Sus scrofa: one gene and its partners. The protein of the gene in region 2 interacts with the protein of the main gene of each other region in a pairwise test. Links are inferred from orthologs where the notes say so. Each region holds a gene or a part of one and is shown on either strand. Other genes may lie near its edges.

Region 1 (10,358 bases), on a different chromosome or scaffold from region 2:
TAGGGTGACATTTAGAACGGAGATCTGAATTAAAAGAGCAAGCCACGCAGCCATAGGATAAGAGTGTTCAGACAGAGGAAATTGTTAATGGATAGGTCTTTAAGATTCAAATGCGCTTTTCATGATAGAGATGCATTTATCAAGTAAAGGATAAAATCAAATAGTTATATGGAGCTCAAACCAACAACGGACTTGTAGGCCATTGTGAGGAATTTGGATTTTGTTCTGAGATGGAAAGTCACTGGAGAGATGAGGGGAAGAGAGATTTAATCTGACTTAAATTTTAACATCACTCTAGCTACTTATTGTGTTGGGAACATTCTACACTGGTGCTGGTGGTGGTGGGGATGGGGGGGTTGGGGGAGTGGAGTAGAGTAGGGGAGACATAGGGGTCAAAAGCAGAAGCAGGGAGACCAGAAGGCTATGGCTATAAGCGCATCCTGGCTTGGACTAGCATAGTAGCAGTAGCAGTGGAAGTGGTGAGATGTGATTGGATTTTGTATATATTTTGAAGGTAGAGCTTCAGAGGAATTTTTTTTTTTTATAGGTTGTGGGATATAAGAGAAAGTGAATTAAAGATTATGCCAAGGTTTTTGGTCTGAACATCTGGTGGAATGGGTTTGTCATTCACTGAGATGGTGAAAATTGGGAGAGAAATAGGTTTGGAGGAGAGAGACAAGAATCCAGAATTAAGCCTTGGATGAGTTAATTTTGAGATTCTCATTAGAATCCAAGTGGAAAATGTGAGCAAGCAACTGGCTATAACAAGTTGGGATGCAATGGGAGGAATCTGTGCTCGAAATATAAAATTGGGGGAGTTCCTGTTGTGGCTCAGCGGGTTAAGAACCTGACTAGTATCCATGAGGTTGCAGGTTCAATCCCTGACCTCGCTCAGTTGGTTAAGGATCTGGCATTGCTGCAAGCTGCAGATGCAGCTCGAATCTGGCACTGCTGTAGTTGTGGTTTTAGGTCAGCAGCTGCACCTCCTATTTAGCCCCTAACCTGGGAATTTCCATATGCTGGAGGTATGCTCCCCCCCCCCAAAAAAAAGAAAGAAAAAAAATAGAAAATTAGAAAAGATATGGATGATATTTAAACCATGAGACAATAGGGGATCATCAAGGGATTAATCAGCAGTGGAAGCTGAGGAGTAGCCAGGGAGATCGGAAGAGAAACGAAAGAATGGGATTCTCAGGAGTTCCCTGGTGGCCCAGCGTTTGGGGGATCAGGTGCTGTCACTCCTGTGGTACGAGTCTAATCCCTGGCCCAGGAGAAAAAACAACGGGGTTCTCAGAGGCAAAAGCATTTGGTTTTGACATGTTGAGTATGTTTGGTTTTAGACCTGTTGAGTGTTGCCAAGCACTCCTTTCCCATGAGGCTTGCTGGGGGCACTAATGGAGCTTACTGCTTGACCTATGCAGCCTAGCTAGGGATCCAGAGATAGAAGACAGTTCACTGGACTGCCTGTTTTTCGTGCCTCCCTAACCCAAATTTGAAGTATCAAAACATCTTTTTCTGTACATTTGAGGATAGTATTCTGCTGCCTTTCGCCTCGTATTTTGAGAGATCACAAAATGAAACTGTCAGGGAAATAGAGCCAGTATGTGGTGATTTCTGAGTTATAAAATTTAGCCATTGAAGGGGATGAGGGAAGTAATTTAAGGGCCTGTCATATGCAAGGCCCTATGGAAAGTGCTTTACATATATGATGTATAATCTCAGAGCAAGTAACTCACCCAAGGTCACCGAGCTACTAAACCAAGAAACAGAGAAAGGAATTAGAGTGATTCCAGAGCCCTGCTTTTTATGACAACTGTGCTGGGGAAACCTACTATTTTTAAAGCCAAGCGAGAATGGGCCCGTGGAAGAATGGAAGCTACAGAATGGCTGAAATTGCTGATTGAAGTAGCAAGGGTCAGAGGGAAGCAGAAAGGGATAGGATTTAAGGCAAAAGTAGAGATGTGAACCTCGAAAAAGAAAACACATCTTTCTCTGAGTTAAAAGGGAGGAAGAGTATGAGAGTGGAGATAAAGTGAATAGGAGATGATTTTTGAGGTGATCATGATTTTGGATAAATAAAAAATAAGATCACCTTCCCAGAAAGGAGTGGAGACCTTAGGAACAGCTTCTGGAGAGAATATGGAAGAGATTTCTCTCCTTTTCCTTTCCTCTTTCTTCTTGCTTCTTCTTCTCTGTTTCCTTCCTCTTTCTCCTTTGTTCCCTTCTGCCTTTCTTCACAGTTTCTCTCCAGTATTTCACTTTTCTTATCCCTTTTCCTTATTTCTCACTTGTTTTATTTCCCACTTTTTCCCCCTCCTGTCTCTTTTTACCTTTTTTCTTTCTCTTCTTTCCTTCTCCAATTCTTTGAGCATAGACAAAGAAATGAAGGTGGCACAGCCGACATATTTTACCTATTTAGAGGAGGAGGGAGCTCCTGATGTGGCTCAGTGGTAATGAACTTGACGAGTATCCATGAGGACACGGGTTCCACTCCTGGCCTTGCTCAGTAGGTTAAGAATCTGGTGGTGCTGTGAGCTGTGGTGTAGGTTGCAGGCGAGGCTCAGATCCTGAGTTGCTGTGGTGTAGGCCTGTGCCCACAGCTCTGATTCTACCCCTGGCCTGGGAATTTCCATATACCACACTGGCCCTTTAAAAAAGAAAAAAAAGAATAGTGGGGAGTTGGTCATTCCTCCACCAGGTGGCACAATGACTTAAGAATCTGACTGCATGCAGAGGTTCTGCTCAGTAAGGCCCAGGTTCCATCCCTAGAACTGGAGCAGTGGGTTAAAGGTTCTGGTGTTGCCACAGCTATGGCTCAGATTCAATACCCTGGCCCGGGAACTTCCATGTGCCCAGGTGTGGCCATAAGCTTTTTTAAAAAAGGACTAGGGGGGAGTTCCCGTCGTAGCGCAGTGGTTAACGAATCCGACTAGGAACCATGAGGTTGTGTGTTTGATCCCTGGCCTTGCTCAGTGGGTTAAGGATCTGGCGTTGCAGTGAGCTGTGGTATAGGTTGCAGAGGTGGCTGGGATCCCAGTGTATGCTGCAGGAGTGGCCCAAGAAATGGCAAAAAGACAAAAAAAAAAAAAAAAAAAAAAGGAGTGGGGGGAATTCCAGCTGGGGAAGGGAAGTTAGCCCAGAGGAGGTGATACTTACATTGGCTGACTGATGTCTGCAAAGAAGTTAATTTCAAGTTTCAGTGAGCTGGGTACTGCTGCCATGAATAGCATACTCTTTCGTTTAATGTTATCAGAGTGAGTCTCTCAGCTGTATCTCATTTACCTCAGGTCTCAGTTCACACTGAGGAACAGGAAATGTTCTTGCAGGAGGTGGCACCTCTAGGATCAGAACAAGAACCCGGTATGTCTCTCCCATCCGTGAAAGTCCAGCTAAAGTGTGAATCTCCGGACCTTGAAGCCCAGCAGGAGCAAGGTAAAGAGGAAAGACCCATCTTGGGAGGAAGGGAAGATGCAGCTAACACAGGACACTGGGGCTTTTTTGTACTTCATGCTGTTTCTGATTATCAAAGTCAAGACAGTCTCCAGGAATCTGACAGCTCATGCGTAGACCTCAGGCAGCCTAGGTTGTCATTCTCCAACTCTGTTTTTCTCTTTATATTAATATTTTCCTAATTTCTGGCTGTAATTTTGAGATCACTTAATTTAGTCCTTCTGATATTTTCCTCTGTACTGAGCTTCCTGCTATTTTTAGCCTTTATCCTACCAGATAATACCTCTGTCTTCCAATATTACTGTTTCCTGCCTCCTTCAGTAAATGATAACCTTTGCCCCATAATATCTGTAGTTAATGAATGCTCAGATGGTCTAGGGGAAAAGATATATGTGTGTGTGTATTCTTATGCAGAGAAGGAGTAAAAAAGCAAATGTGATAGAATGTTAAAAGCTGGTGAAGGGATGAAAGACTACATCTTCCTTTGTTCTACTTGCTCTTTTTTTTTTATTTAATTTTTTTAAGTGAATGAAAATTCACATGGTTCAAAACCAAGTTATCCAGTGAAAAGTTTTCTTTCATTCCATTCAATTTCCCTAGCCATTTGATCTCCTATTCCTATTCTGAAATAAGTTGTCACCATTATTAGTTTCTTGTATGTCCTAGAGGTTTCTTTATGCATATGTGTACATTTTTCATATTCAGCTTTATTTTCCTATCACAAAAATTGTAGAATTTTGCCTTTTTTGCTTTATAGCTGCTTAATATTAGAATGTGTGGCTGTACCACACAAAATAACTTAATTCATTCCCCTGCTGATGACATTTAAGGTGGCCCTAGTCTTTTATTATAACAGTGCTCTGTTGAATAGCCATATATGTGAGTATATCTGTAACATAAATTCCTATATGTGGAATTACTAGGTCAAAGTTATATGCATTTGTAATTTGATAGATATTGTCGAAGTGCCCACTATAAAGTTTGGAACAATTTATACTCCCACTGGCAATGTGTGATAATCCATTTCATGAAGACAGCGTTAACATCAAGCTGATGGTAGGAGTTCCTGTTGTGGTACAGCAGAAAGGAATCAGATTAGGGACCATGAGGTTGCGGGTTCGATCCCTGGCCTTGCTCAGTGGGTTAAGGATCTGGCGTTGCTGTGAGCTGTGGTGTAGGTTGCAGACTCGGCTCGGATCCTGGGTTGCTGGGCGTAGGCCAGCAGCTGTAGCTCTGATTCAACCCCTAGCCTGGGAACCTCCATATGCCGTGGGTGCGGCCCTAAAGAGCAAAAAAGTTGATGGCAGGTCTCATGGGTGAAAATTATACTCAATATTTTTTTAATAACATCAATCACAACTATTTTTATTTATTTTTTTCTTTTTTCAGCTGCCCCCCCAGCTTGTGGAAGTTCCCAGGCCAGGGATCAAACCCGCATCCTCATGGATACTAGTCAGGTGCGTTTCCACTGAGCCACAACAGGAACTCGCAATATTGTTTTTAAATTTTCTTTTCACTTGCTGTGAGGTAGAGCATCTTTTCTTGTGTTTAAGAGCTCTTGTATATCCTTTCCCAGAAACCATCAATTTTTTCTTTGTCCAGTTTTCTATTGGATTATTGGTCTTTTCCTTAATAGTTTTTGGAGTGCTTTTCATTAGTCTGTCCTGTATTCTAATGCCATTTTTTTTTTTTTTTTTCCTTTTTGGCTACATCCAAGGCATGTGGAAGTTCCCTGGCCGGGGATTGAACCTGTGCCACAGCAGTGACTCAAGCCATTTCAGTGACGGTCCTGGATCCTTAACCCACTGTGCCACAGTAGAACTCCAGGAACTCTAGGTTCTTAGGCAGTTTTCTTTCTTTCTTTCCTTTTTTGCCTTTTAGGACCACACCTGTGGCATATGGGAGTTCCCAGGCTTGGGGTCATCCCATTGGAGCTGTAGCTGCCGGCCTACACCACAGGCACAGCATCGTGGGATCCAAGCTGTGTCTGTGACCTACACCACAGCTCATAGCAATGCTGGATCCTTAACCCACTGAGCAAGGCCAGGGATCGATCGAGCCCACATCCTCATGGGTATTAGCTGGCTCAACCACCTGAGCCACAATGGGAACTCCTAGGTTCTTAGGTAATTTTTGTTTGAGTAATTTTATGTTACCTGTTGAAGTTGCTGTTTGCTATCATAAAAAACTGGCTAACATTTATGATCCATTTTTAGTTTCAGATGTTGATACTGGAAATGAGTACAGGAATTTAACTCCAAAGCAAGAAGTTTCTGAAGAAATGAAATCATATGGGAATATATCTAGCAAATTTGAAAATGAAATAGCTCAATCTACTGGGTATGAGAAAACTTGTGAACCTCAAGAAAAAACAGAAGAGCCTTCCGGATACTCCAGGGAAGATACATGTCATGAAAATGGAGTAAGTTTGACTGAGAACTCTGACCGTCCTGAACAGCAGAGAGTCTGTCCAGGAGAAAAACTTTATGAGTGTGATGACTGTGGAAAAGCTTTTAGTCAGCACTCACGCCTTCTAGAACATCAGAGGATCCATACTGGAGACAGGCCCTACAAATGCGAAGAATGTGGAAAAACTTTCCGTGGGCGAACTGTGCTTATTCGACACAAGGTAATACACACTGGAGAGAAGCCATACAAATGTAATGAGTGTGGCAAAGCCTTTGGCCGGTGGTCAGCTCTTAATCAGCATCAGAGACTTCATACAGGAGAGAAGCACTACCATTGTAATGAATGTGGCAAAGCCTTTAGTCAGAAAGCAGGCCTTTTTCACCATCTAAAGATCCACACAAGAGACAAACCTTACCATTGCACTCAGTGTAATAAAAGTTTTAGTCGACGTTCAATTCTTACCCAGCATCAAGGAGTTCATACTGGGGCAAAGCCCTATGAGTGCAATGAATGTGGAAAAGCCTTTGTTTATAACTCCTCCCTCGTCTCCCATCAGGAGATCCACCACAAAGAAAAATGCTATCAGTGTAAGGAATGTGGGAAATCCTTCAGTCAGAGTGGCCTTATACAGCATCAGAGAATCCATACTGGGGAGAAACCCTACAAATGTGATGTTTGTGGAAAAGCCTTTATTCAGAGGACAAGTCTTATAGAACATCAGCGAATTCATACTGGAGAGAGACCCTATAAATGTGACACATGTGGAAAGGCTTTCACTCAAAGATCAGTCCTCACAGAACATCAGAGAATCCACACTGGAGAGAGACCCTATAAGTGTGATGAGTGTGGGAATGCCTTCCGAGGAATCACCAGTCTGATCCAACATCAGAGAATCCACACTGGGGAGAAACCCTACCAATGTGATGAATGTGGCAAAGCCTTCAGACAGAGGTCAGATCTTGGTAAACACCAGAGAATCTGTAATAGAGGTGGTCCCTATAAATGGGAAGAGTGTGGGGAGTCGTTCAGGCAGAACTCAGCTCTTACTCAACATCAGACCACTCACAAATGAGAAGAATCTGGTTCTGTGTGATGACTGCAGGCAAGCTAACTCATAGAGTGCAGGCTGGAGAGAGACTAGCTTTGAAATGATTTAGGACAAAACGTTAGTCACTAATTCCATAAGGAAACCTCAGCTACTTTATAAAAAATCCACTATGTGCTTCCCATTTTATTAGTTGCTCTGGAGGTGGAGAACAAGGAGCATAATGCCAGATTCCTTTTCTTAAAGAGTTTACAGTCTAGTTTAAAGATGTATAAGGTCCACCTATTTAGTTAAATGAGACGTAGGACTGAAGAATTGATGTTTGAAGTAGGATAGAATTAAAGTGGCATTTGGCAAACAGTAAGTACTATAAATTCTGAGGGACAGATCACTGTTGCCTGAAACAGTCAGGAAAGATTTTATCGAAAGAGTTCCTGTTGTGGCTCAGCAGGGTTAAGAATCCGACTTTATCCACGAGGATACAGGTCCTGTCCCTGGCCTCTCTCAGTGGGTTAAAGAGCTGGTGTTGCTGCAAGCTGCGGCATAGGTCGCAGATACAGCTCGGATCTGGTTTTGCTGTGGCTGTGGTGTAGACCAGCAGCTGCAGCTCCAATTTGACACCTAGCCTGGGAACTTCCATATGGCGCAGGAGCAATCCTAAAAAGAAAAAGATTTTATTGAAGATAAGAGTTGGATGGGGATATTTGGGAGGCAAAAGGCAGAAAACATTTAGGGCAGAATAAATGTAAACAAAGTGCATGTGGTTTGTAAGCATCCATGACAAGACTAGCCAACCTAAAGTAGAGAGTTCTTTCATTTGGGAAGTTGATGGTGTAAAAGTGTTGTGTGGGAACTCTGGGAGAGTTAGATACCAGTAATTTCACCTAATATTTTGAGACTTAAAGAGCACTTTTTTAATTCCTAAAAATGTTTCTATAAATTATTCTCTGTTTTTAAAAATGAGGGTACCCTCACTAGAAACTCTAAGGAGGAGCCAAGAAAAATTTAAAAATTCATTTGCCGAGGAGTTCCCGTCGTGGCGCAGTGGTTAACGAATCCGACTAAGAACCATGAGGTTGCGGGTTCGATCCCTGCCCTTGCTCAGTGGGTTAAGGATCCGGCGTTGCCATGAGCTGTGGTGTAGGTTGCAGACGCGGCTCGGATCCCCGTTGCTGTGGCTCTGGCGTAGGCTGGCAGCTACAGCTCCGATTGGACCCCTAGCCTGGGAACCTCCATATGCCGCGGGAGCGGCCCAAGAAATAGCAAAAAAAAAAAAGACAAAAAAAAAAAAAAAATTCATTTGCCGAGATGAAAGCTGGGCTAAAGGCATTGAACAGCAGAATGAATAACGCAGAGGAAAAATGAGGATACTCTGCTATGGAGATGGTAACATAGCTACAATATCACACAAAGGAAAAGACCATCAGCTCTTCAGTGCAGGTTTCTGATTTCAAGTTCTGTTCATTACATAGTGATTCCTCAACATCAGTGAACAAAGTCAAAATCACCTGTGGAGCTTGTTTAAAATACCGGAGTCCTACTCACAGATATTATGTGTCATTAGGTCTGGGATGGAGATTAAGAATCTTCATTCGTATGGCTCCATAGTCACCTGATGTACTCTAAAATTTGAGAAGCATCTTTTTAAGTCACTGCTGCCTGTGTGGTTGCCAGTGAAATAAGGAAGCATGAACACAGACCACCACAAATTTTTAGCGTAAGGAAAGCCTTTCAGGGGCCATGTCCACCAGCTCTTTAGAGTGAACAGGGAATTAGCCATCATACTTAAAGACTAGGGCTTTAAGATGGCCTTTCTGTCCCTTCAAATTTAAATGTTTCAAAAAGAGAGACTGACCTACATTCCAAGGCTCCTAAGGGTCTTGTGAGTGCAAGGCCTGTGTGTGCGTGTGTCTGTGTGTGTCTCTCTAGTTAGGGCAGAAGTGCTGGTACTCCCCCCCCACCTCTTTAGTTATCATCGTGTTTTGAATTCCCTAATTATTTCTCTTGAGAAGTGGTTTACAATTTTTTGTTTTGTATACCTTCTTGAACCCATAAAAGAGCCAAAGATTAGTGAGTCTTTCCCTTGGTGCTTCAGGGGAAAAAAAAAAAAACTGGTTGACATTATGTCTGTGTTACTGTGTAAACAGTTCTTTTTTGATGAGAACATGTGATGATTACTGTAGTGGATAATAGGCAAGCCACAAAGAAGTACACATAGCTCCTGGTCTATTTATCTTTTTATTTACAGAAATCCTATTTGATCTCTGCTGAGATAACCTTTTATTTCTTTGCCTTTCTTCCTTGCCACAGCCAACTCCTCAATTTCTAGGACTACGTTCCCACCCTGTCTCACACAACTTCAGTCCCCTTATCACCCCTCACCTTTAGCTGGTCAGTGGGTTCGAAGTGCTGAGACGTGACAGAAGAGGAAGGGGAGAAAAATGAAGGATATCACTATTCTTTTTTTTTTTTTTTTTTGTCTTTTTGCTATTTCTTGGGCCGCTCCCGCGGCATATGGAGGTTCCCAGGCTAGGGGTCCAATCGGAGCTGTAGCCACCGGCCTACGCCAGAGCCACAGCAACACGGGATCCGAGCCACGTCTGCAACCTACACCACAGCTCACGGCAATGCCGGATCGTTAACCCACTGAGCAAGGGCAGGGATCGAACCCGCAACTTCATGGTTCCTAGTCGGATTCGTTAACCACTGCGCCACAATGGGAACTCCGGATATCACTATTCTTTACTCTTAACTACCTTTCTGCCTAGGCCTGTCTATCCCATCTCCCCATCTCTCTAGTACCCCTGTCAGTAACCCCTCTGTCCATAGTCCTTATAAAGGACATAAAAATATCAGCACTGGCTTGGAACCAGAAGAGTCCTTAGTCTTGTAGAAATACATATTTTCCTAGCTTTCTAAGTTATAATTGTGAATACATTTTCCTATAAAAATGATAATGGTATTAGTACTATCATTGAGGCATATTATGTGTTAAATTGGCTTTGGGGATTAGAATGTACATTGACTGTGGGAAAACATTCTGAGTTCACAACATAGGAAAGCAAATGAACATTTGAAAAACAAGTCACAAGTTGAGGACTGTTAATTTAGGCTTTTTCATAAGACCAACATTGGATTGCATGCACAGAGCAATGAGGCAGCTGATTTTTTATATCCGGGAAGGATCCCAAAACTGAGCCTGAGAGCTCTGTAGCCTATGTATATGAGGTCTATTTCCTACCTAAGGTTACCCTGTCTTGAATTTTCCTCTCTCATGTAAATTCTTCTCTTAGGAGGGAACTGGTCTAAATGACAAGACTTTATAAGAACACCTCTTTACCAAACTGATGCTGTCCATACTTGTCATCTAATCTGATTTCACAAATGTGTTTTCCAAACTGCAGTTACTCTACATAGTAACGCCAGAGCCTCTCTTTTTAATCTGACTGCTCAG
Region 2 (10,918 bases):
TCCCTCTTGTGTTCCCCAAACCAGAAGCAGAGGCGGGGTGGGTGAGCCAGTGAAACATGAGGGACACTGGCTGTTCCCACTGCCTCAGCCCCCCTTCCAGCACGCCCTCTGCCCCACCCAGTCCCTGCCTGGCCAGGCTTCCCCTCCTGGCTGGGGAAGCAAAACCACACTTAACCCTTCCTATCCCGGACCTCCCCATCTTTGGAGAAAAGAGGCAGGAGAAAGGAGGGGGGATCTTACCCTAAATTTCACTTTAGGTTGTTTCCAAAGGGTGCCCCCACCACTACCACCACCATGGCCTCAATCCTAAACCTGAACTTCAAAGTGGGCCTTTATCTTGAATATTCAATCCTAACTCTGAATCCCAAAGATTCCTCTGCCTTCCTCCTGCCAGGGTGTAGATCACCAGTCCCTGAAGAAGCAGGAGAGAGCAGGGAAGGCAGGTTCAGAGGACACGAGGACACCAGCCTCCTGGGGGTGAGGATGGTGGGAGTTGTGACTGGGTGGAGACCAGGTTCCAATCCTGCCTCTCACTTACTATGTAGTGACAGATCTGCTACTGAATGCTCTGGGCCTCATCTGTCTCATGTCTTATCGAAGACATGGGGGTTGGGCTACTATGTTTGCTCTCAAGGGAGGTGCCCACTGGTAGGGAAAAGAGGGTGAGGGGGGGTGGAAAAATCAAGCACAGGTGGTTTAAAGGGCAGCATAGAACCCTGAACTGGAAAATGAATTCCAAATGGATTCCAGAAGTGTGGGAGCTGGAACATTAATAAGTGATATCAGAAAATAGTGGTTGAGTCCAAGGGGTGGTTTGGAGTCAGGGCCCTACTCTGTTTCCATAGCATCCTGGGCCTCCCCCTATGACCCTTCCTCCCAAAAGTGCTATGAAGGACAGGAGGGACCAGGGCCTGGCTATCTGTGTCCCTAACACCTGGCCCAGTGCCTGGCATACAGGAGGTGCTCAGTGTGTCTTAAATGAACAAATGTATTTGGCCTTGCCATTTTTGGGGTGAGTGATTTTGGGTGAGTTTTCCCCTTTCACTCAACCTCAGTTTCCTTGTGTATAAAATGGGGATGCTGCAACAATTAAGTAACATGCATTTTTGTGTTTTTTTAATTTTCTTTTCTTTTTTTTTTTTTTTTTTTTTTTTTTTTGCTGCGCCAGGACACTTGAAGTTCCTGGGCCAGGGATCAGAACCGAGCCACAGTTGTAACCAAGAGCTGTGGCAACACTGGATCCTTAACCCACCATGCCAGACTGGATTGAACCTGTGTCCCAGCACTGCAGAGACACCAGCAGATCCCGCTGTACCACAGCAAGAACACCAATTAACATGCATTTAAAGGGAGGCTTCTTGGAGTTCCCATCGTGGCTCAGTGGTTAGCAAATCAGACTGGGAACCATGAGGTTGCAAGTTCGATCCCTGGCCTCACTCAGTGGGTTAAGCATCCAGTATTGCCATGAGCTGCGGTGTAGGTTGCCGATTCGACTCGGATCCCGAGTTCTATGGCTCTGGTGTAGGCCAGCAGCTGCAGCTCTGATTAGACCCCTAGCCTGGGAACCTCCATATGCTGCGGGAGCAGCCCTAGAAATGGCAAACAAGCACACACACACACACACACACACACACACACACACGCAAACACACAAAGAAATAAAGGGAAGCTTCTTGCATTCCCTGGTGGCCTAGGAGTAAAGGATCCTAGTGGCATTGTCACTGTTGTAGCACAGGTTCAATCCCTGCCCTTGGAATTTCCACATGCTGTTGATGTGGCAGGAAAGAAAGGAAAAAAGGAAGGTAGGTAGGTTTTTTGGAGGAGGTAGGTTTAAGAGTTTACAGGAGAATTCACTCATCCAACAAACATTTATTGGACACCTGCTGTATATGAGGCACTGCTCTACTCACTAGGTATACAGCAGTAACTCATGGAGCTGACATCCTAGTGGAGGGAGATGGTCCATAAATAAAAGACAAAATTTATAATCTGTTAGAAGATGGTGAGGGCTATGAAAATAAAATGGGACAATGCTTGGAGTTCCCGTTGTGGCGCAGTGGTTAACGAATCCAACTAGGAACCATGAGGTTGCAGGTTCAATCCCTGGCCTTGTTCAGTGGGTTAAGGATCCGGCGTTGCCATGAGCTGTGGTGCAGGTTGCAGACGCAGCTCAGATCCCACATTGCTGTGGCCCTGGCGTAGGCTGGTGGCTACAGCTCCAATTCGACCCCTAGCCTGGGACCCACCATAGGGAGCAGCCCTAGGAAAGGCAAAAAAAGACAAAAAAAAAAAAAAGGGACAATGCTCAATAAACTGGGTGACTTATACCTTGATGCTCTTTACAGCTGCAAGTTTTCACATACATTCTCATCTTGGTTCCCAAACCACCTCATAGACTGGAGAACATGTCCCTGTTTTACAGCTGAGGCTGACATTCCCAAAACCAGACAGTAAGCGAGAGGCCAAGCTCAGAACTCGGACCAGGCTGCCTGCTCCAGGACTTCTTCACTATCTTATGCCACTTTGTCAGGACACGTGGGAGGAGCGGGGGTGGACTGGTGCTGGGGGAGGAAGTCTGTGCAGAGGTTGTGAGGCGGGAAAGAGCTGAGGGTGCACAGCTGAGCTGAGCAGGGAGACACTGGAGGTGAGGCAGGAGGAGAGGCAGGATGGGAGAAGGGGGAGATGGAGGCAGCCTCCTGCCTGGTTTGGGGACGGGGGTCTGAGGGAAAGGATTCTGGCTGCTCAATAAGGAGAGGAGGGAGGCATTGAGACCAGCGAGGAAGGAGTCAGAGGCACAGGCCTTGGCAAGAGGCAAGCTAAACGGAGCGGGCTCAGCAGAAGGGTGCAGCCAGGAGGGATTCCAGAGGCATTCTAATAATGATTTGTGTAGGGAGGATGTGTGGAGTAACTACTATTATTAGACACTAGGTATTTGCGTGACTTTGTTGAACCTATGCAATAGATCTATAAGGTAAACACTACTATTAGTCCTATTTTACAGATGGGGACACTGAAGTCTAAGGAGGTTAAATTATTCATCTAAGGCAGGGTTTCTCAAAGCTGGCACTCTTGACATTTTAGGCCAGATAATTCTTTGCTGTGAGGGGTGGGTCTAAGCATATGGGATGTTTTGCTGTATCCCTAGCCCTCTGCCCCCAGTTATGACAATCAAAAATGTCTTCAGAAGGTGCCAAATGTCTCCTGTGGGGCAAAATCACATCCAGTTGAGAAACACTTGTATAAGGTCATATGATTAGTAGCAGAACTGGGATTGTGATACAGGTGGGCCTGCTCTGAAAGCCAAGCACTTAGCTGTCAGGCTGTAATTCTGGACAGGTAGGAGTGGGAGAGAGGAGGATTCCAGTGGGACCTAGGCCATTGGGAGACAGTTATACGCCCCCACAGGGGTGGGAAGGGGTGACTCTTTGGGAGAGGGTCTAGGAAATAGGGGGTGATTTGGAGAGTCAAGGCTATGGTTTGGGAATCCCTTTATAATGTTTCTGGGTTGGTTTTTTTTTTTTTTTTTTTTGTCTTTTTAGGGCAACAGCCACAGCATATGGAGGTTCCCAGGCTAGGGGTCCTATTGGAGCTGTAGCTGCTGGCCTACACCACAGCCACAGCCATGCCAGATCTGAGCCACGTCTGCAACCTGCACCACAGCTCACAGCAGCGATGGATTACCTTAACCCACTGAGCGAAGCCAGGGATCAAACTTGCATCCCTATGGATACTAGTCAGGTTTGTTTCCCCTGAGCCACAACAGGAACTCCCTAGAGTGCTTGGAGGGAGGGTCCCTGTCTTATTCATTCTTTGATCACAGGGTCAAGTACTAAACACCTGTTGAACTGCTGAGTCACTCCTGCACAGGTGGTATGGAAGGACCTGGCTGTTCTTTAAGTAGCTGCCACATACCAGGCACTGGGCTAGGGGCCATGTGGGGCTGATCCCACTTCATCTTGACTTCAGCCTTATGAGGAAGGTATTATTATCTGCATTTTATATACCAAAAACCCAAACTCCGAGAAGTTGACTAATTGACCTAAGATAGTCCAGCTGAGTAACTGCCTTCTTCCCATCCGGACCCAGCTAGATGGAATGATGCAGGCTTAGAACAATTAGCTTGGCTTAGTTTAGCTGGGAAGGCCCTCAGAAGGAGCGTGTTTGATGGCCTTTTGTAAAGCCAGTGAACCCCTCATTTGAATGAAATTTCACCCCAAAAGCCCAATATACTAAATGACAGAGGCAGAGTCTCTCTAGCAGGGAAGTTTAGGGACCCCTGCCTGGTGATCCTTTGCCCCTCCCCTAAGAGGCCCCCAGGGCTCTGAGAATTAAACCCCTCTCTTTACAAAGTGGGCTTCTCAGGCTGGAGAAGCTAAGATTTGCCCAAACACAGCCAGAAACCCCCAAATAGTACTCGGACCCTATTTCACACTACTGTAGGAGACAGGACATCACTCTGGACATACTGGAAGGGGCTAATCGACCTCAAGGGATGGGCATTATCGCTACCATGATGAGGCAGGGGTTGCAGGGGTCAGTGTAGGGCTGGCTATCTTCCCTGGGTGCTCCAGCCAGGCCAGACAGGGCCGCTAGATAATGAGCACAGAACCAACCCTTTACACTTCACATTTGGCTGGGCAGGTCTCCCAGGTGTCATCTTTTCACAATCCAGATTACTACCTTAACCCTCTCAAACCTCTCTGAGATGCACAAAGCAAACACCATGATGCCCATTATACAGATACGGAGATTGAGACTTGGGCCAGGTTAACTGATATGCTCCAGGCCACACAACAAGAGACAGAAGCAGGTCCCAAACTCCAGGGATTTGCCTCCAGGTTAACTACATCCCACCTCCCTTCAGTCCAGACCCCAAAGGAGCTCCATCCAACAGCAAAATCCGAGAGTCTGCCCAGGAGTCCCTGCCCGACATTCCAAACCCCATCCCCCACTCAAATGGGCCCAGAGAGCCGCCCCACCTGTGAGCCTCAGGCTTCCTGGAACCGTCACAATACACACCAAAATACTGCCACGGTACACACCAGACAAGAGCCAAAGAGGAATTCCGCAGTGACTTCGTCCTCTCTGCTCCCTATCTCCCAGCTTTGGCCCCGCCCCACCTGGTGAGGGTGGGGGAGGGGAGGTAGACGTAGGAAGGGGCGGGGCCCCGGAGACGTGGGCGGAGCCAAGGGGACGGGGCTTGTTCCCTCCAGGGCAGATCGGTTCGGGCTGGTAGGGCGACTCCGGACTCCGGCGGGGTGGTTCCTCTCCCGCCCCCCCGCCCCCGCCGCCCGGAGGCGGGCAGTGCTGACGGCTGGTTCTGACGCAGGCGCCTGCGTGTGGGCGGCTGCCTGTGAGTCTGTGTGTGTCTGTGTGTGTGTGGTTGCCGGGGCCTCCCGGGTCTCCTAAATGGGGGTTTCCTCTCCCTGTTGCCAAGGAAACAAACAGAAGCGCCACAACTCCAGAACTGGGGCCGGCGAAAAGGGTCCCCAAGCCCTAGGCGCCGAGAGGCTTCCAGGAAGTGAGGCAGAAAAGGATCCCTGTTTCCCCCCCCACCCCCAGTCCAGGTGCTGAGCAAACGTTACCCAATGTGGGGCCTGAAACTAGTGGCCACCTGTCCTGTTTGCAGAGCACTGAGGAGTTTCCTAGGACAAGGGCCTTGCAGTGCTCAAACCCGAACAGTTCCTGGCAAAACCGGACAGTTGGTCTTCCTAAGTGTCCATCCAATTTTTGTGGGGAGGCTCTATCTTAAAAATATGAGAATATCTTTTACAGATTTCACACAGATAAGTGAACACGTGGAAACCTGGTCAGGCTCCTCTAAGGGTCTTGGGAAGGCCTGTGCCACTGTGGATCCCTGAGCTTCACCTTGCTTAGCCTCACCATAAAACCAACCTGGGTTCCCAGCCCCTGCAGCCCCTAAGTTCCTCAGGGTCCCCTTCCAAGGCTAGCCCTTGGCACTCACCCCAGGGAGGTCAACTGGGAAAGCAAATTCTCCCCGGGGAGGATGGTGGTTAATCTGCAGGAGATTTCCTGATGGGGGAACAGATCAAAGGGCACTTCTGGATTAGTGGCGGCCACGTGTGGCAGGTGGATGGGCAGGGCCTTGGCCAAGGTCAGGAGCTCCTGGAGGGAGACTCCATGGGATGGAAGGGACTGCCTTGGGCCAGTGCTTCATCAGTCATTGCTTAGAAGCCAGAACTTCAGAGCTGGGAGGAGTCTAAGGACATCATGCAAGCCAACCCCCTCCTTTCTAGACCTGCCTTGATCCAGCTCCCCAGATTCCCCTGTCCCACTATCCCTATGCCAGCCCACAGGCTAGCCCCAGAGTAACACCCCAATTGCCCTCTTTGTCTAGTAAATCCAAAGCTTACAGGGCTCCCTGAGAGCCCACTTCACTTTGGCCCTTGACCCCTGAGTGGCAGGTAATGGGGGAGCCACTGGAGCAGCGGTAGGGCAGCAGGGACCTGGCTGGGAGGGACAGGATGCACGAGTGGCCTGAGGCTGGTGTGCTCTCAGGCTGCCCAGGGAGGGGCCAAGAGGGCATCTGTTTCCTCTTGGCCATGATTCCCTCAATCCCATCCCCAAAGGAGGTGAAAATGGGGCTGGCTTCCTGAAGCGGAGCTTCCTGGCCTTGGCGGGGAGGATGGATGGGACGTCCTCAAAACATCCCGCATGCCCTCTCCTCTCCCTGCCTGGAGCTCGGCACAGCTGAACTAAGGCTTCGGGGTGGGGGCAGAGAGGTGAGGTCTGGGGTTCAGTGAGCACAGCGATGTACCAGAAGCCACAGTCAGGCTCAACTCCCAGGGGGTGCGGGGGGCGGGGGAGGGTAGAGGCAGGGGACTGGTCTGGCTCAGAGGGGGGGCTTCACTCAGGTACTTTAGTGGAGGATGCATGAGAGAGAGTTGATCACAGAGGGCAAATGGGGATGAAGGGAGAGATAAGAGTGGGTAGAGGAGTTCCCGTCATGGCGCAGTGGCTAACGAATCCGACTAGGAACCATGAGGTGGCGGGTTCGGTCCCTGCCCTTGCTCAGTGGGTTAACGATCCGGCGTTGCCGTGAGCTGTGGTGTAGATTGCAGACGCGGCTCGGATCCTGAGTTGCTGTGGCTCTGGCGTAGGCTGGTGGCTACAGCTCTGATTCGACCCCTAGCCTGGGAACCTCCATATGCCGCGGGAGTGGCTCACGTAAAGGCAAAAAGACCAAACAAAACAAAACAAAACAAAAAAAAGAGTGGGTAGAGGGAGGAGGTTGGAGAGAAAGTCTACTATGAGGGAGAAAGAACTGAGCTTTGAGGTAACTGGGGGGAGTCCGGACCAGGGGATCCAGGAGCAGAGAGCTGGGCAGAGGGGAGGCACAGGAATTGAGGAGAGGGGCAGCTGCCTGGGGCTGACACCAGCAATCCAGCCCCAGCTCCTGGTGGGGCAAATATTTACCCAGCAACAGTTGCTAAGCAAGGAGGAAGGAGGAGGGAGACCAGTAGCTAGAAGGCTTTCCAGACTCCTCCCTCATAAAAGACAAAAAAAAAAAAAAAAAAAAAAAAAAAAAGGGTGAGCCATTATGTTCTCCTCAGCCCTTCACCCCCACCGAGCAGGCTCCTCGCACACATATCTGTGGGGTCACCCCTCCTACTTCCCCCCCACCCCCACCCCAGGCCAACCCAAGCTCATAGCAGGACAGAAGGTTGGGCTAGGGAAAACTTAATCCCCAGGCAACCAGGACTTCCCCCTACCCTGGGACAGCTCTGGGGGCTCAAACCTTGCAAAATTCCTCCTTCCCAATCTGCTGTTCAAGGGGGGGCTGGAGAGGGGGGCAGGTCCAAGAAGTCAGGATACGGTGAGGGAGGGGGTGCTGAAGGACCCAGTCAAGATGTCCAGGGGATGAAGGCTGGAAGAGAGGATGAGGAGACTGAAAGGAAGGGAAGGGGTGACTATGTTAGAGGCTGTGAAAGGGCAGGCGGTGTGGTGGAGGTGGGGGGTGGGGTGGGGGGGGTGGCTGATGGACCCAAAGAAGTGAAGTTCTCATGGGTCCTTCCGGTTCTGGCCTCTGGGCAGAGGAGGAGAAGGGACAAAGGAGGGGAGGGTGTGCTCAAGTGGAGCCAGATGTGGCCCATGTGATGTGGGCTGTCGCTGGCATGGGCACAGTGGGGGCAGGATGTTCAACAACTACCAGGAAAAATTAGTCAGAAGCTGGGAGGGGACAGCTAGTCCAGGACCCCCGAGGCAGCAGAGGGAGCTTTGGGGGAGGGTAGAAGGGCTCAGGGCTCCCCCCCACCATCACCCTCAGGATTCCCACCCATTTTCTTGGCTGAGCCTGGGTTCCCACAGGCAGATTGGACATCCTGATGCTTCCCAGGGCAGATGCCGGGAGCTCAGCTCAGAGCCCGGCACACAAGAGGCGTTTTGTTCCTTACCCACCTCCTCAGGATGAGGTCTCTGCTCTGCAGGGCTGCTCCCTGGGGGCCAGGGGGTTCTCCCCCTCAACCACAGGCACTCCGGAAACTGGGGTGCAGAAATGGGAGGGAAGGGCACAAAGAAGAAGCTGCCTTGGCAGAGAAGAGAGTCCTGGAACCTGGCCTCCCTGGTGCTGCCAGAGGTGCTCGAGGGTCGAAGCGTTGGTCAGAGTGGCTGCAGGCCCCATGGGTCCACCCTGAAATGGAGGCAGACAGAGGAGCCATCACTGTGACACAACACCAGAGGCAACGCCGAAGCGCCACCCCAGGAGGGACCTCCCTTAGCCCAGACGCAGCATGAGCCAGCCTGGAGGGAGAAGGGCTAGGGGACCCCAGGAAATAAAGCAGACCTGAAGGGTGGGTCGGGGTGCAGCCCTGGAGAAAGCAACCCCAGGGACCCTTGGAGAGCCAGGTCCAAGCTGGCAACCAACCGAAAGGGGGTTGCTTTCCAAGCTCCCATTGGAAAGTTTGAAAAATACACATGGAAGCATGACTCACTGCCCCCTCCCCACGGCCCCCCTTTCCTGGTTTCTATGCTTTTTCTCCCAAGAGTTAATTCAAATCACATTCTCACAGAAACCAGATTTAATGAGGGAGGGCAGAGAGCAGGCTGAGGAGGCAGAGCGGCCCCACGGGAAGGGTCTAGAAACAGAGATGGTTCCTGGGGCAGAGGGTGCGGTCACCCGTCCGCTGGGGAAACACCTCATGTCGGGGGAGAGTTCAGCTTCCAAACACTTAGGTGGTCACGCGAAGGGAGGAAGCAGAACTCATTCACACACACAACCACCGCCGCCCGAAACTGCAGTGTGGCCACCGCCACACCCAGTGGCCCTGTGTAGCCCAACCCAGAGAGCTTGCCTTCTGGCCTCCTCCTTGGAATCTGTCAGCCAGGGCCAAGCGGCCTGGGGCGGTGGGAGTGGACGCAGAGCTACCTGAACTCACCGCCTTCACTGCTCCTCCCCCCAAAACCCGTGTCCTGGGGCTGGCACGGGGGCAACTCTCTCCCTTCAGGCTGGGGAGGGGGGGTGCTCCAGGCAGGCCTGCCCCAGGGGGGCCTCTGGGACAGGAATTCCCAGTCTGTGCAGGCAGGTGAGGCCGGGGAAAAGGGGAGCCTGGCACTGGACCAAAGGTGAGGAGCCCTTCCAATCCTGAGAGTCCTTGGAAGAGGCCTCCAACGATTCCCAGATCAGGGGTGATTCCTGAGATTCCATACTTGCCATCCCTCCTTGGATGAATCAGATGAAATTCTTTGTGTCTCCCCAACGCCACCTCAGCCCGACTCTGCTCCTCCTTCCTCAGCCTTACCCACTCCGTCCCCCTTGGCCACTGATGCCCCAAGTCCCGGGGGCCCAGAATCTCTCCATTCTGCTCACTGCCTCCAGCTCCCTGGTCCTGATCACCATCAGCCCCCACGTGAGTGATTGCAGGAACCTCCCGGCCAATCTCCCTGCTTCCACCTTTGCCTCTGCTCCCATCCTTTCTCTTTCCAAAACCACAACCATCTTTCCAAAATGTAAACCTCAACGTGTTTCCACAAGACTGCAAACTAACAGTGTATTCCCCCCCACTGGATCTGGGATGAAGTCCAAGTTCCTTGAGCTGGCGTGTAAAGCCTCCGTGACCCAGGCTCTGCTTGTTCTCCCCAGCCTCACGCTTGCCCTCTGGATTCCAGCAATCCCAGTCTCTCTTGTTTGTCCTAAGCTAACCTTCCTGGACTTGGCACATGCTTTGCCCTCTGACCAACTCTTATTCAACCTCCAGGCTCAGCTAAAAGTGCCACCAAGTCTGGGCTAGGTGTCCTGCTAAACCCGCAACATCCCATCAGGTGAAAGTGACGCTGTGTTGGCCTCTGCCTTCCTCCATTAGGGGAACTCCTTGCGGGTAGAGGCTGGGTGGGTCTAGCCTGCCTTTGTATGCTCAGCACCCGACATTATGCTTTGGGCAGAGAAGTTTCTCTGTTCACATGGGAGCTGAGCTTCTAGTGAGAGAGCAGACCTCCCTCCTAAACCACTTTCCCAAAGCGCTCAATTTCTCCCTCTCCTTGGCCCACACACCCGACTCGTCACCACCTAGATCTGGCCTCGCCTTCCTCCCATGTGCCCCTCACTGGTTCTGGGGGCATCAGAGCTCTACATGTGTCTGCAACTGGGCCTCTCTCCACACCCAGCCGGGAGCAGAGTCCTAACCCCGTAGGAACAGCAGCTACTGTTTAGAGAGCCCTTCTATGCGTCAGGGCTTGTTCTAGGTTCTTTCCATTCATTGGCTCATTTGATACCCAGCAGGAGCTAAAAAAAGATATTGGCCTAAGAACCTGACTTGTCTGATCGTTTAGGACCGATATCTCTGGGAGCTTATAACTCTGTCATCACTGTGCGTAAAAAGAAGTAGGTTAGGTTATGTGCGGGGCCCTAAATAAACGTTTATTGAGGGCAAGAACAATATAATTGCCTACCTTTAGACCAGGT
Region 3 (10,358 bases), on a different chromosome or scaffold from region 2:
ATGATAATCTGTTTGCATCCATGCTGCTGCAAATCACATTTTGTTCTTTTTCGTGGCTGAGTAGTATTCCATTGTATATGTACCACATCTTCTTAATCCATTCATCTGTTGAAAGACGTTTAGGTTGTTTCCATGTCTTGGCTATTGTGAATAGTGCTGCTATGAACATACAGGTTCATGTATCCTTCTGAATTATAATTTTGTCTGGATATATGCCCAGGATTGCTGCATCATATGATAGTTGTATTTTTAGTTTTCTGAAGAACCTTCATACTGTTCTCCATAGTAGTTGTACCAATTTACATTCCCACCAACAATGTAGGAGGGTTTCCTTTTCTCCACACCCTCTCCAGCATTTGTTATTTGTAGAGCACTATGATCTTGATGCTATCTCTGTCCAGGCTGGATTCATCTGGGCTACACAACTGGTACTATGGGCTTCCTGCTCCTATAGCATTTAACATGATAGTATAGTGCTAGCTACTGGTCTTCTCCGCTAGACTGTAGTCTTGCTGAGGATCAGGCTCATAACATTCACATTGGTATCCTCAGTGAAAACATAATAACCCTTTAGTAAATATTTTTGAATAAATGAAATACCTAATTCAAATCAGAAAATATTTGTCAAATGCCAGTTTTCTGCTAGGCACATTTCACATGACCTGGGAAACAGGTTAGTGGGACAGTCTCTGTTTTTAAGGTATGATGGTATAATAATGAGGATAAGATCAACATAAAATACTGAGAGAAATCAAAGTATTGTAACTGCTGTGAAAATATAAACGATCATGGGGAAATACATGTTTTTACACTTAAAAAAAATTACACTAAAGAAGTAGATAATTTTCTTTTTTTCTATAAAAGTTATGTTCTGGGCATGGAAATATCTGAAAATATAGAAGCACAGTCATGAGATTATATATCATCTTATGATTGAATGAGGGTTATACATTAGCTGGATTAAGCATGTTACACCACTGGATAGTAATACGTGAAGGAGGAAATAACAGTATTTTATTAATCACTTGGTAGAAAAATTAAGATGCTGGATGCTCCCCATTAGCCTAAAAGATTTATTACATGTGTGTCATGTTATTGAGGTAATACCCCTAGGTTTATGATATTCTAGTAAGAATTTGGAATTTTATGAGTTCTGTTCTAATCAATCTGCCTATAATTGTGTAGTCTTTACTTATAGGGATCTGGGACCATAATTATTCCTTCAGCTATTCTACTTTTGTTTTAAAATCACATGTAGAATAGATATATTAATACCTGTAATAGCTAGTATCTGATCACGTGTAGGAGCTGCAGTACATTTTGTCCATTTCCACCCTGCTGTGCCTTACTTTAGGCTATTATCTCTTGTATGTGATGGAAAATAACTACTTGAGAATGTCAAGATTGGCCTTTGATGAACAATAGCTCTGCTTCCATTATAGTTAAATGGAGACTTCTGTATTCACTGCCTCATATTTGTTTCTCAAGTAGCTGGGTATGATTTGCAGGACTTATACCCAAATTGTTCTCTTATTCAGCAGCTATATATGGAGTATATATCTGTCCCAAGCAATGTTGCAGGTACTGGAGCTACGAAAGTGAGAAAATAGGCAGTCTCTGCATTGTTGAGCCTTAGCATTTAACACTAAGTGCAAGTATTTATTTATTTACATGCTTATTTCCTGTTTCCCCTCACCTCCATACACCGCAGGTGCAGCCCTGAAAAAAAAATTTAAAAATATAAAATTATTTATTGAATAAATTGATTAGTTGCTTCAGTATTTGTCCCATTATTCTTTTTTTTTTTTTTTTTTTTTTTTTTGGTCTTTGCCAGGGCCACACCTGCAGCATATGGAGGTTCCGAGGCTAGGGGTCCAATTGGAGCTGTAGCCGACGGCCTACACCAGAGTCACAGCAGTGCGGGATCTGAGCCGCGTCTGCAACCTACACCACAGCCCATGGCAATGCCGGATCCTTAACCCACTGAGTGAGGCCAGGGATCGAACCCGCAACCTCATGGTTCCTAATCGGATTCCTTAACCACTGAGCCACTACAGGAACTCCTGTCCCATTATTCTTGTATAAGATTTTACATCTTTAGCTCTCTGCCACGGAGTTGCAATAAGATATCTTAGGAATTCAGGGGCTGTTTCAGATCTGTTTGGGCAGAAGACAGTTCATCTCCTAGCTTGGTTACACTTCAGTTTTATACACTTCAGTAGTAGATTTTGTGGGAGGCACAGAACTCTAGGAAGCTATGATGAACCCTGAAGTCTATGTGCAGATCATCAGTGGGTGTACATAATGCTTTTAATATAAGAGGGAGGTGACTATCACCAAACATAGTAACTGCTTCTTGAATCTGAGAATAGTTCTGAAACTGTCTAAATGGGCCTTCATTTTGTTTTTAAAGCAAAGGGTTTTTTTGTTTTGTTTTTTATCTTTTGTCTTTTTAGGGCCGCACCTGTGGCATATGGAGGTTCTCAGGCTAGGGGTCTAATAGGAGCTACAGCTACCGACCTCCACCACAGCCACAGCAATGCCAGATCCAAGCCATGTCTGTGACTGACCTACACCACAGCTCACAGCAATGCTGGGTCCTTAACCCACTGAGTGAAGCCAGGGATCAAACCTGCAACCTCATGGTTCCTAGTCAGATTCGTTTCCACTGCGCCACGACGAGAACTCCTAAAGCAAAGGTTTTGAAGATATAGCTTCATGATAGGAAAGGGATAGAACTCTTTCAAAATTACACATGACCATGCCTCACCCCCAACTCAGTTGGTTAGTTGGAGGAGTAATATAGAGGGCCATGAGGAGCTGTGCACTATGAAATCCCTAGGTGATAATTGACAAATTGACACACTTCCCCAACTAGAAAGGACAATTGCATATTCTAGTTTATTTAAAACATATATATTTATTTATATAGTTGCTAGTAATCCACTTTAAACAGTTTTTAATTTTAAAGTTTTTATTATGACAGTTGTAAGAACTGTGAGTTCATTTAATTTTTTTCCTTTTAAATATTTCACTGGAAACAAAGATACAAATCCACACAAAAAATAAATATTTCACTGGCATGACTTATTTCATAAACTAATTTTAAGGTAACATTTTGTCTAATGATTGAAGCAACAAATGGCAACTAGACACTTAAATAATTCAAAATTTCTATGTTTGTGTACTCTAGGGGCAACTTGTGAGAGAGAGTAGGCAGCTGAGAACCAATTATTAAAATTTTGAATTTAGAATAAATCTTCATTGGACATCCTGAAGTTTGGTTATAACAGGCTCTAATCACCTACTATAAAGGAGAAAATCATTTTTTCATTTTGAAGAACAACAAAAAAATATTTCCTATTTGCTTCTTCATGAGCGCTTCAGTACCTTCCAGAGTGGTGGTTATTGTCTTAAACTCTATTTAAGAGGAAACCCATGAGTGTACCCAATGAGTGTAGTATCCTAGAACACATTGTACCTTTCCATTTTGAAAACTAAATATTTTTTATAGGCTTCTTACATTCCTGGGCAAGTTTTTGTATTAGCCTTAGTGTATGACCTGCATGTATAGCTGTGTCTATGTGGTGTCTCAACGGCCTGTTGAAAAGAAGATGAAACATTACTTAGAGTCAAGCTATTTGACTAAATTCTATAGTTACTGAGCATTCTGACAGTGCATTTAATTTGCAGAAATGGCCAAGAATAAACTTTAAGTTAAATATTGCTTTTATTTATATCATATTATCTTTTAATTGCCTGAGTACTCAAGCACTCAAATGGAAGGAACATTGCTACAAGTCTTAACCTTTTTAGAGTTTAATAATTCTGGGAACTTACTTTTTCTATCATATCTAATGAAAATATCAAAAGTTGTAAAATTTACAGAAGAGAAATAAATTATATTTAATCTTTTTTTAAACTAGTGTTCAGAATCAGGTGGATGAAGTCATTGATGTCATGCAAGAAAATATTACAAAGGTAATTGAAAGAGGGGAGAGACTAGATGAACTACAGGACAAATCAGGTACAGACTCTTCATATATTTCTTGATATTATTAATCTGTGTTTTGATAATTCTCCCACTTTTCTAGCCAAAGTTTGGGAATCTTGACATGGGAAAAAGGGCATTTATGATTTTAATGTTTTAACTTAAGTTCCCTTTACTTTGAATTATCTTGTTGTATTTCTTTAATCGATCAATTGAGAATGGAAAAATTAAAAGTTCATTGTTGAAGAGTTAAAGAGTATTTTTTTTGTTTTGTCCTATTATGTTCCTGTCCTTTCTCCTGATCTCAAGGACAGGTCTAATCACTTCTTTTCAACACTTATGTTAAACTTATTCTCATATGCTTTCTCTGGCAGCTTAGCAACCTTTCTTTACTCACTAATGTTAGTCTTTGACTTATAACAATTCCTGGCATTTATTGGGCATTCACATATTGTTTAAATGACGAATGGCTGAATGAATATCTGAGTAATCTTTGGTAGACTTGTGTAACCAAAAAACCTATTTAACCACTTTTTAAAATTCATATTGTTTTGCTTCAAAATCATTCATTTTTGGTATCTTCTAAGCATCTAGCCTTCTCCATGTATAAATTTTTTTTCTATAGATGTGCCAAGTGTTTGAATTTCTAAAGAGTATTTTCTGCCATAATTCATAAATTTATTTGAAAGTGGTGAGGCCCTGGGAAGACTTCTCTTACTCTTTTTGTAAAAGTGGATTGAGCAAACTAACCTACAGCCACTTTTTTTTGCTTTTTGGTTTTTTTCTAGACTAAAGAATGCCAGAGTTTGTGAGTGCAGGAGAGAAAAGATACTGTTTTTGTGCTTAAAAGGGAATAGATTTGCAGAAGTAGAAATTAATATTTTTTATCTTTGTGTGACTATATAAAAGACGCCTGTTAGGTCATTTAATCCTTCTCTTCATTCTCTATGTGATATAGAAAGCTTATCGGATAATGCAACAGCTTTTAGCAACAGATCCAAACAACTTCGAAGGCAAATGTGGTGGCGCGGATGCAAAGTAAGTAAATCAGAAGATGTTGGATAGGTTGCTGCATATCCAGTGGTACTCAAAGACATAAAGAAGAAAGGGCCTTTCTACATTCTGTGAGGACGGGTCCTATAACTGTCTTGCTTCTTAGTATATCTTCTGAACCTGGGACACAGTGGGTGCTCAGTAAATATTTGTTGAATTAATACCTTTTAAGACAGAAATAACTAAAGAAATCAAGTAATGCCTAAAAGGATGTTTTTGTAGATTTCTTCACAGAGAGTAATCCACATTTTATCAATAATTTAGCTACCTCTAGACTTACCGTGTAAGAAATATTATAATTTATTATTAGTATCTTTTTGGAACAACCTATAGCATTACATAGAGTTATTTAAAACATAGACTGCGAGTTCCCATCATGGCTTGGTGGTTAATGAACCTGACTAGTATCCATGAGGATGCAGGTTCGATCGCTGGCCTCACTCAGTGGGTTAAGGATCTGGCATTGCTGTGAGCTGTGGTGTGGGTCGCAGATGAGGCTTGGATCTGGCATTGTTGTGGCAGCATAGGCCAGCAGCTGTAGCTGTGATTCGACCCCTAGCCTGGGAACCTTCATATGCCATGGATGTGGCCCTAAAAAGACAAAAATAAATAAATAAAAGGTAGAATGCAACTTGAGAAAAATAAAATTTTCATTTGAAAAGGGTTGAAAAAGTAAATCCAGTTTATATGTCAGAATCCACATGGCAAATGGAGCTTAAAAAATCCCACTGTCCTGTTATTCCAAATAAGATATAAAAGAAAAATTTGTAACAAGGAAAACAATGGGAATCTTTATATGCTAATACATTCCTATAAAACATTTTATACAAATGAATTTACTCCTTAAATCAAGTACGGCTACTAATTATTAAACAGAAAACTATTTCTCTTAAGATTTCATAGCAAATTTCATGTCATATAAGCAGATCTTTTCTTTTTCCTCCTGGAACTGTGTATCATTTTTGGCTTTGTTGAAAATCTTAGATATAACTCATTGTTTTTAGTCTCTCATTTTCAAGTTTAGCAATAATTTTCAAAACTTGATGATATGCTAAGGACTTCTTCCAAGAGTTGCCTTGGATTTATTCAGTTTTGTTTATCTGTTTAACTCACTTACTTTCAGAAATAGAACATGGGGAAAGAAACAATTCTCTCATCTAGAATTTAAATTTTCTACTTTCTTTAGTGAATAAATTTTCTATCGTGGAGACTAGATTGCAAGAACAAAAGGTCCACGAGCCATTCACCTTCTCTCCCCATATTCCCATTAATAAAATAATGTGCATTTTGCCTGGTCATATCTAAAGATTTTCACTTTATACTTTATGGGGTCCAGATCAAAGAAATAGTATACTTTTAAGGGGAAAAGTTGAATTATATCCTTAATTTATACTTATAAATAGTCTCTGTATCACTACCATATTCCAGATTAAGTTATGCTTATTTAGGAAGGGCTAATGAAAGTGATATAGGGACAGGAAAAAGATCAGAGGTTGCCCAGGGCTAAAGGTGGAGGGGTAGAGATTGACTATAGCAGGGCATGAGAGCACTTTTTGGAGTGATGAAAGAGTCTTCTGTTTGACTGTGGTGGTGGTGGTTGATAATTACATGTTTGTCAAAATGCATCAAAATGAACTTTTTTTTTTTCTTTCCTGGGGCTGCACCCGCGGCACATGGAGATTCCCAGGCTAGGGGTCTAATCAGACCTGTAGCTGCTGGCCTATACCAGAGCCACAGCAGCAGGGGATCCAAGCCGCCTCTTCGACCTACACCACAGCTCACAGCAATGCCAGATCCCTAACCCACTGAGCAAGGGCAGGGATCGAACCCGCAGCCTCATGGTTCCTAGTCAGATTTGTTAACCACTGAGCCACGACGGGAACTCCCCTCAAAATGAACTTTAAAAGAGTGAATTTTATTCTATGTAAAGTATGTTCAATAAACCCAACTTTAAAAATAAATGATGGAGTTCCTGTGGTGGCTCAGTGGTTAATGAACCTGACTAGCATCCATGAGGACACGGGTTTGATCCCTGGCTTCACTCAGTGGGTTAGGATCTGGCATTGCTGTGAGCTGTGGTGTAGGTTACCGATGTGGCTCGGATCCCGAGTTGCTATGGCTGTGGCATAGACTAGCGGCTACAGCTCCAATTGGATCCCTAGCCTGGGAACCTCCATATGCTGTGGGTGCGGCCCTAAAAAAGACAAGACAAAAAAATAAGTGAACAAAATTATCCAACAGGTGGGGAGAATCACTGACACTTAACTATCTTAGGAGGCTCTGAGGCTCTTGTATGTTTAATGAGAAACAGATTTTTGTCCATGTCCTTTGGAAGAAGAGCGCTTTGGTCATGCATGAATATGTAACTGGCATTTTTGATTGTAAACATTTCCTGGCCAGTGTTTGAGACTTTATTTACTGAGGTGTTTTAAAATTAATATTGATATTTCCATCTAAATCTTTTAAATGTTAAGTCTAGCACAGATTAACAGGGCAAATTAATATATTTTTTGGTAATGTTGAAAAACTGCTATGCAATTCCAAATTTAGAAATGTTTTCAGTTTTTTTAAAAAATGCAAGTCTTCCACATATTCTCTGAATCGCTTTGTCACTAAAGATCACTTTGTCACTTGATAATATAATGTGGACCTAGACACCTATGGGAAATGTACCTCCTCTATCCATCTGATCTGAATCTGTTTCTACACTTTTTGGATACCATAAATAATAATTTTAATAGGCACCTGATATTCAAATTGCAAAGCTTCCATTTAATCTGTTTTTTGTTCTTGTCATGAATGTAATGGCACTAAAATTTCTCCAGTAGTTCTATTTTAGAAACATTTCATTAGCTACTCCTAGTTGCTGTTTGTGATACTCATCAGATTGTTTCCTGTGTTAATAATAATTGGGTGTCTTTTTTCTGATTGAACCATCTTGAATCGATTATCTCTGAAAATGTTTGATAAAAACAGGCTTTCATTTGAATTCATCAGGAAAATCAAATGAAATAATTTATGCATTTTAGGATTAAATGAGGAATGTGACAATTTTATAGAGAGAGGATGTGAACCTAAAGTGTTAAGTAGCTAAGGACTAATCTTAAGTTTTCTCTCTTAACTGGGGAACTGACACACAGTGCTCTTAGGCAACTTATTTATTAAATGAAGTTATTTATGAAGAATCTAAATTTGGAAACCTTTTAAGGGGTGAACCTGTCCACTGATGAGTTAGTGTAATATGGTAAATAGCACAACAGTCTTTATTAACAAGTCAAACATTCATCTTTCTTATGCATTTTTGTGTGTTGTAGATAAAAGCCATCATGGCTTTGGTTGCTGCTATCCTTTTGTTAGTGATTATCAGTAAGTATTTACTGGATTATTAATTTTGGGGGGTATCATTTGTTTTGAAGTTTACCTAAATTTCCTTTTTATTTTCAGTTGACTTAGTATGACTAATATTAGGATTGAGTGATGACTTCTGACCCAGTCAGGAGCTCTTAAACTAAATCTATAGCTCTCTGGAAACAATATGTAAAATTTTATGTGAATATGCATATGTACATTTTTATGGGAGAAAGTATGTCTTTCATCAGATACTCAAAGAGCACCCCTGTCCTACCCTCAACCCCAGTCCCCAAAACGCAGGGCTCAGTGATTGAGGCCAAATATGTTTACTATTATGCTCAGGACCAAATACTCATTTTCCATTTATTAACGTTTAGGTATGGCAGATTGAATTTTGCAATATTGTGTTTGAAGAAAAATCCAGATAACTTCTCCAGATGATAGTTTTTTCTTGAAGTAGTTGATTGATAGTGTTGTGTTAATTTCTGCTATACAGCAAAGTTACTCAGATGTACACATGCAGTCTTTTTTGAAAATATTCTTTTCCATTATAGTTTATCACAGGACATTGAATCTAGTTCTCTGTGCTGTGTAGTAGGATCTTGTTGATTATCCCCTTCATATATAATAGTTTACGTCTGCTAACCCCACCCTCCCACTCCATCCCTCCCGAAGCCCTCTCCACCTTGGCAACCACAAGTTTGTTCTCTGAGTCTGTGAGTCTGTTTCATACATAGGTTCTTTTGTATCATTTTTTAAATTCTACAAGTGGTATCATGTGATATTTGTCTTTCTCCTTCTGACTGACTTCACTAGCATGATAATCTTTAGTTCCATCCAGGCTGCTTTAAATAGCACTATTTTGGGGGTGTTTTGGCTGGGTAGTATTCCATTGTCCATGTGTACCACATCTTCTTTATCCATTCACTCCAGATGATAATTTTTATTGTAGATTTGAGCTTCATTTCAGTCATTAAAGCATAACTCTTGCCCCTTTTTTCCTTAATATTCTTTTTAAAATATCATTTAAAAATTTTTATTGCAATTAATTTATAATATTGTGTTAGTTTCAGGTATATAGCAAAGTGATTAAGAGCACTGATTCAGAATCAGATTACTGATTCAGCTCAGTGATTTTTTCACACATTTTCCATTATAGATTAGCACAGAACTATATTCAATATCTTATAATATACAGTAAATTCTTGTTGGTTATCTATTTTACGTATAGTAGTTTGTATCCGTTAATCGAATACTCCTAATCTGTCCTCCCCTCCTCCCTTTCTCCTTTGCTAACGATAAATTTTTCTTGACTGTGAGACTTTCTGTTTTGTATTATAGATGCATTTGTGTTACTTTTTAGATTCCACATGTAAGTGCTATTACATTCGTCTTTCTCTGGTTGGATCACTTTTAATGTCTCCTTTTCTCTAAAGCTGCTTTATCTGTGTTTACAGAGATTTCTTTTTCTTTGTTTTTGTTTCCATTTTATGGTCACACCTGCAGCATTATGGAAGTTCCCAGACAAGGGGTCAAATCAGAGCTGCAGCTGCCAGCCTACACCACGGCCACAGCAATGCAGGATCTGAGCCACTTCTGCGACCTACACCACAGCTCACACCACCACCAGATCCTTAATTCACTGAGCAAAGTCACAGACACCAGTTGGTTTCTTAATCTACTGAGCCACAGTGGAAACTCCTATTGAGATTTTTTTTTTTAAGATTTGGCAAGTATCTCTCAGAATAACCATTTGAAAAATCCCATGGTGATAGTCTTCTTTTTTGGCTGCACCCATAACACATGGAAGTTCCTGGGCCAGGAATTGAATCTGAGCCACGGCTATGGCAACACAGAATCCTTAACCTGCTGAGCCATGGTGGGAACTCCAGGTAATACTGTTTTTAAACAGAAAAAAGGTTTTGTTGCGAAGAAAAGTCACTTGTGGATTCTGTGTTTTTTA

What was found.
Region 1: the proteins of LMNA (region 2) and ZSCAN12 interact in binary tests that used the Homo sapiens proteins (3 or more experiments, as listed by UniProt). The link is inferred for Sus scrofa from reciprocal best matches to the Homo sapiens genes LMNA and ZSCAN12.
Region 3: the proteins of LMNA (region 2) and VAMP4 interact in a two-hybrid assay, tested with the Homo sapiens proteins (2 studies listed by BioGRID and IntAct, with this or other methods). The link is inferred for Sus scrofa from reciprocal best matches to the Homo sapiens genes LMNA and VAMP4.

What each region holds. Positions count from the first base shown.
Region 1 is NC_010449.5:22,195,802-22,206,159, reverse strand, and holds part of ZSCAN12 (zinc finger and SCAN domain-containing protein 12), read left to right. Parts: intron 1-3,287; coding exon 3,288-3,432; intron 3,433-5,666; coding exon 5,667-6,810; coding exon of another isoform or gene 6,811-6,931; exon of another isoform or gene 6,932-7,913; intron 7,914-10,358. UniProt on the Homo sapiens protein: May be involved in transcriptional regulation.
Region 2 is NC_010446.5:93,921,203-93,932,120, forward strand, and holds the start of LMNA (prelamin-A/C), read right to left. Parts: upstream 5,083-10,918; 5' UTR 4,980-5,082; intron 587-4,979; exon of another isoform or gene 1-586.
Region 3 is NC_010451.4:114,144,134-114,154,491, reverse strand, and holds part of VAMP4 (vesicle-associated membrane protein 4), read left to right. Parts: intron 1-3,926; coding exon 3,927-4,027; intron 4,028-4,949; coding exon 4,950-5,029; intron 5,030-8,358; coding exon 8,359-8,410; intron 8,411-10,358. UniProt on the Homo sapiens protein: Involved in the pathway that functions to remove an inhibitor (probably synaptotagmin-4) of calcium-triggered exocytosis during the maturation of secretory granules.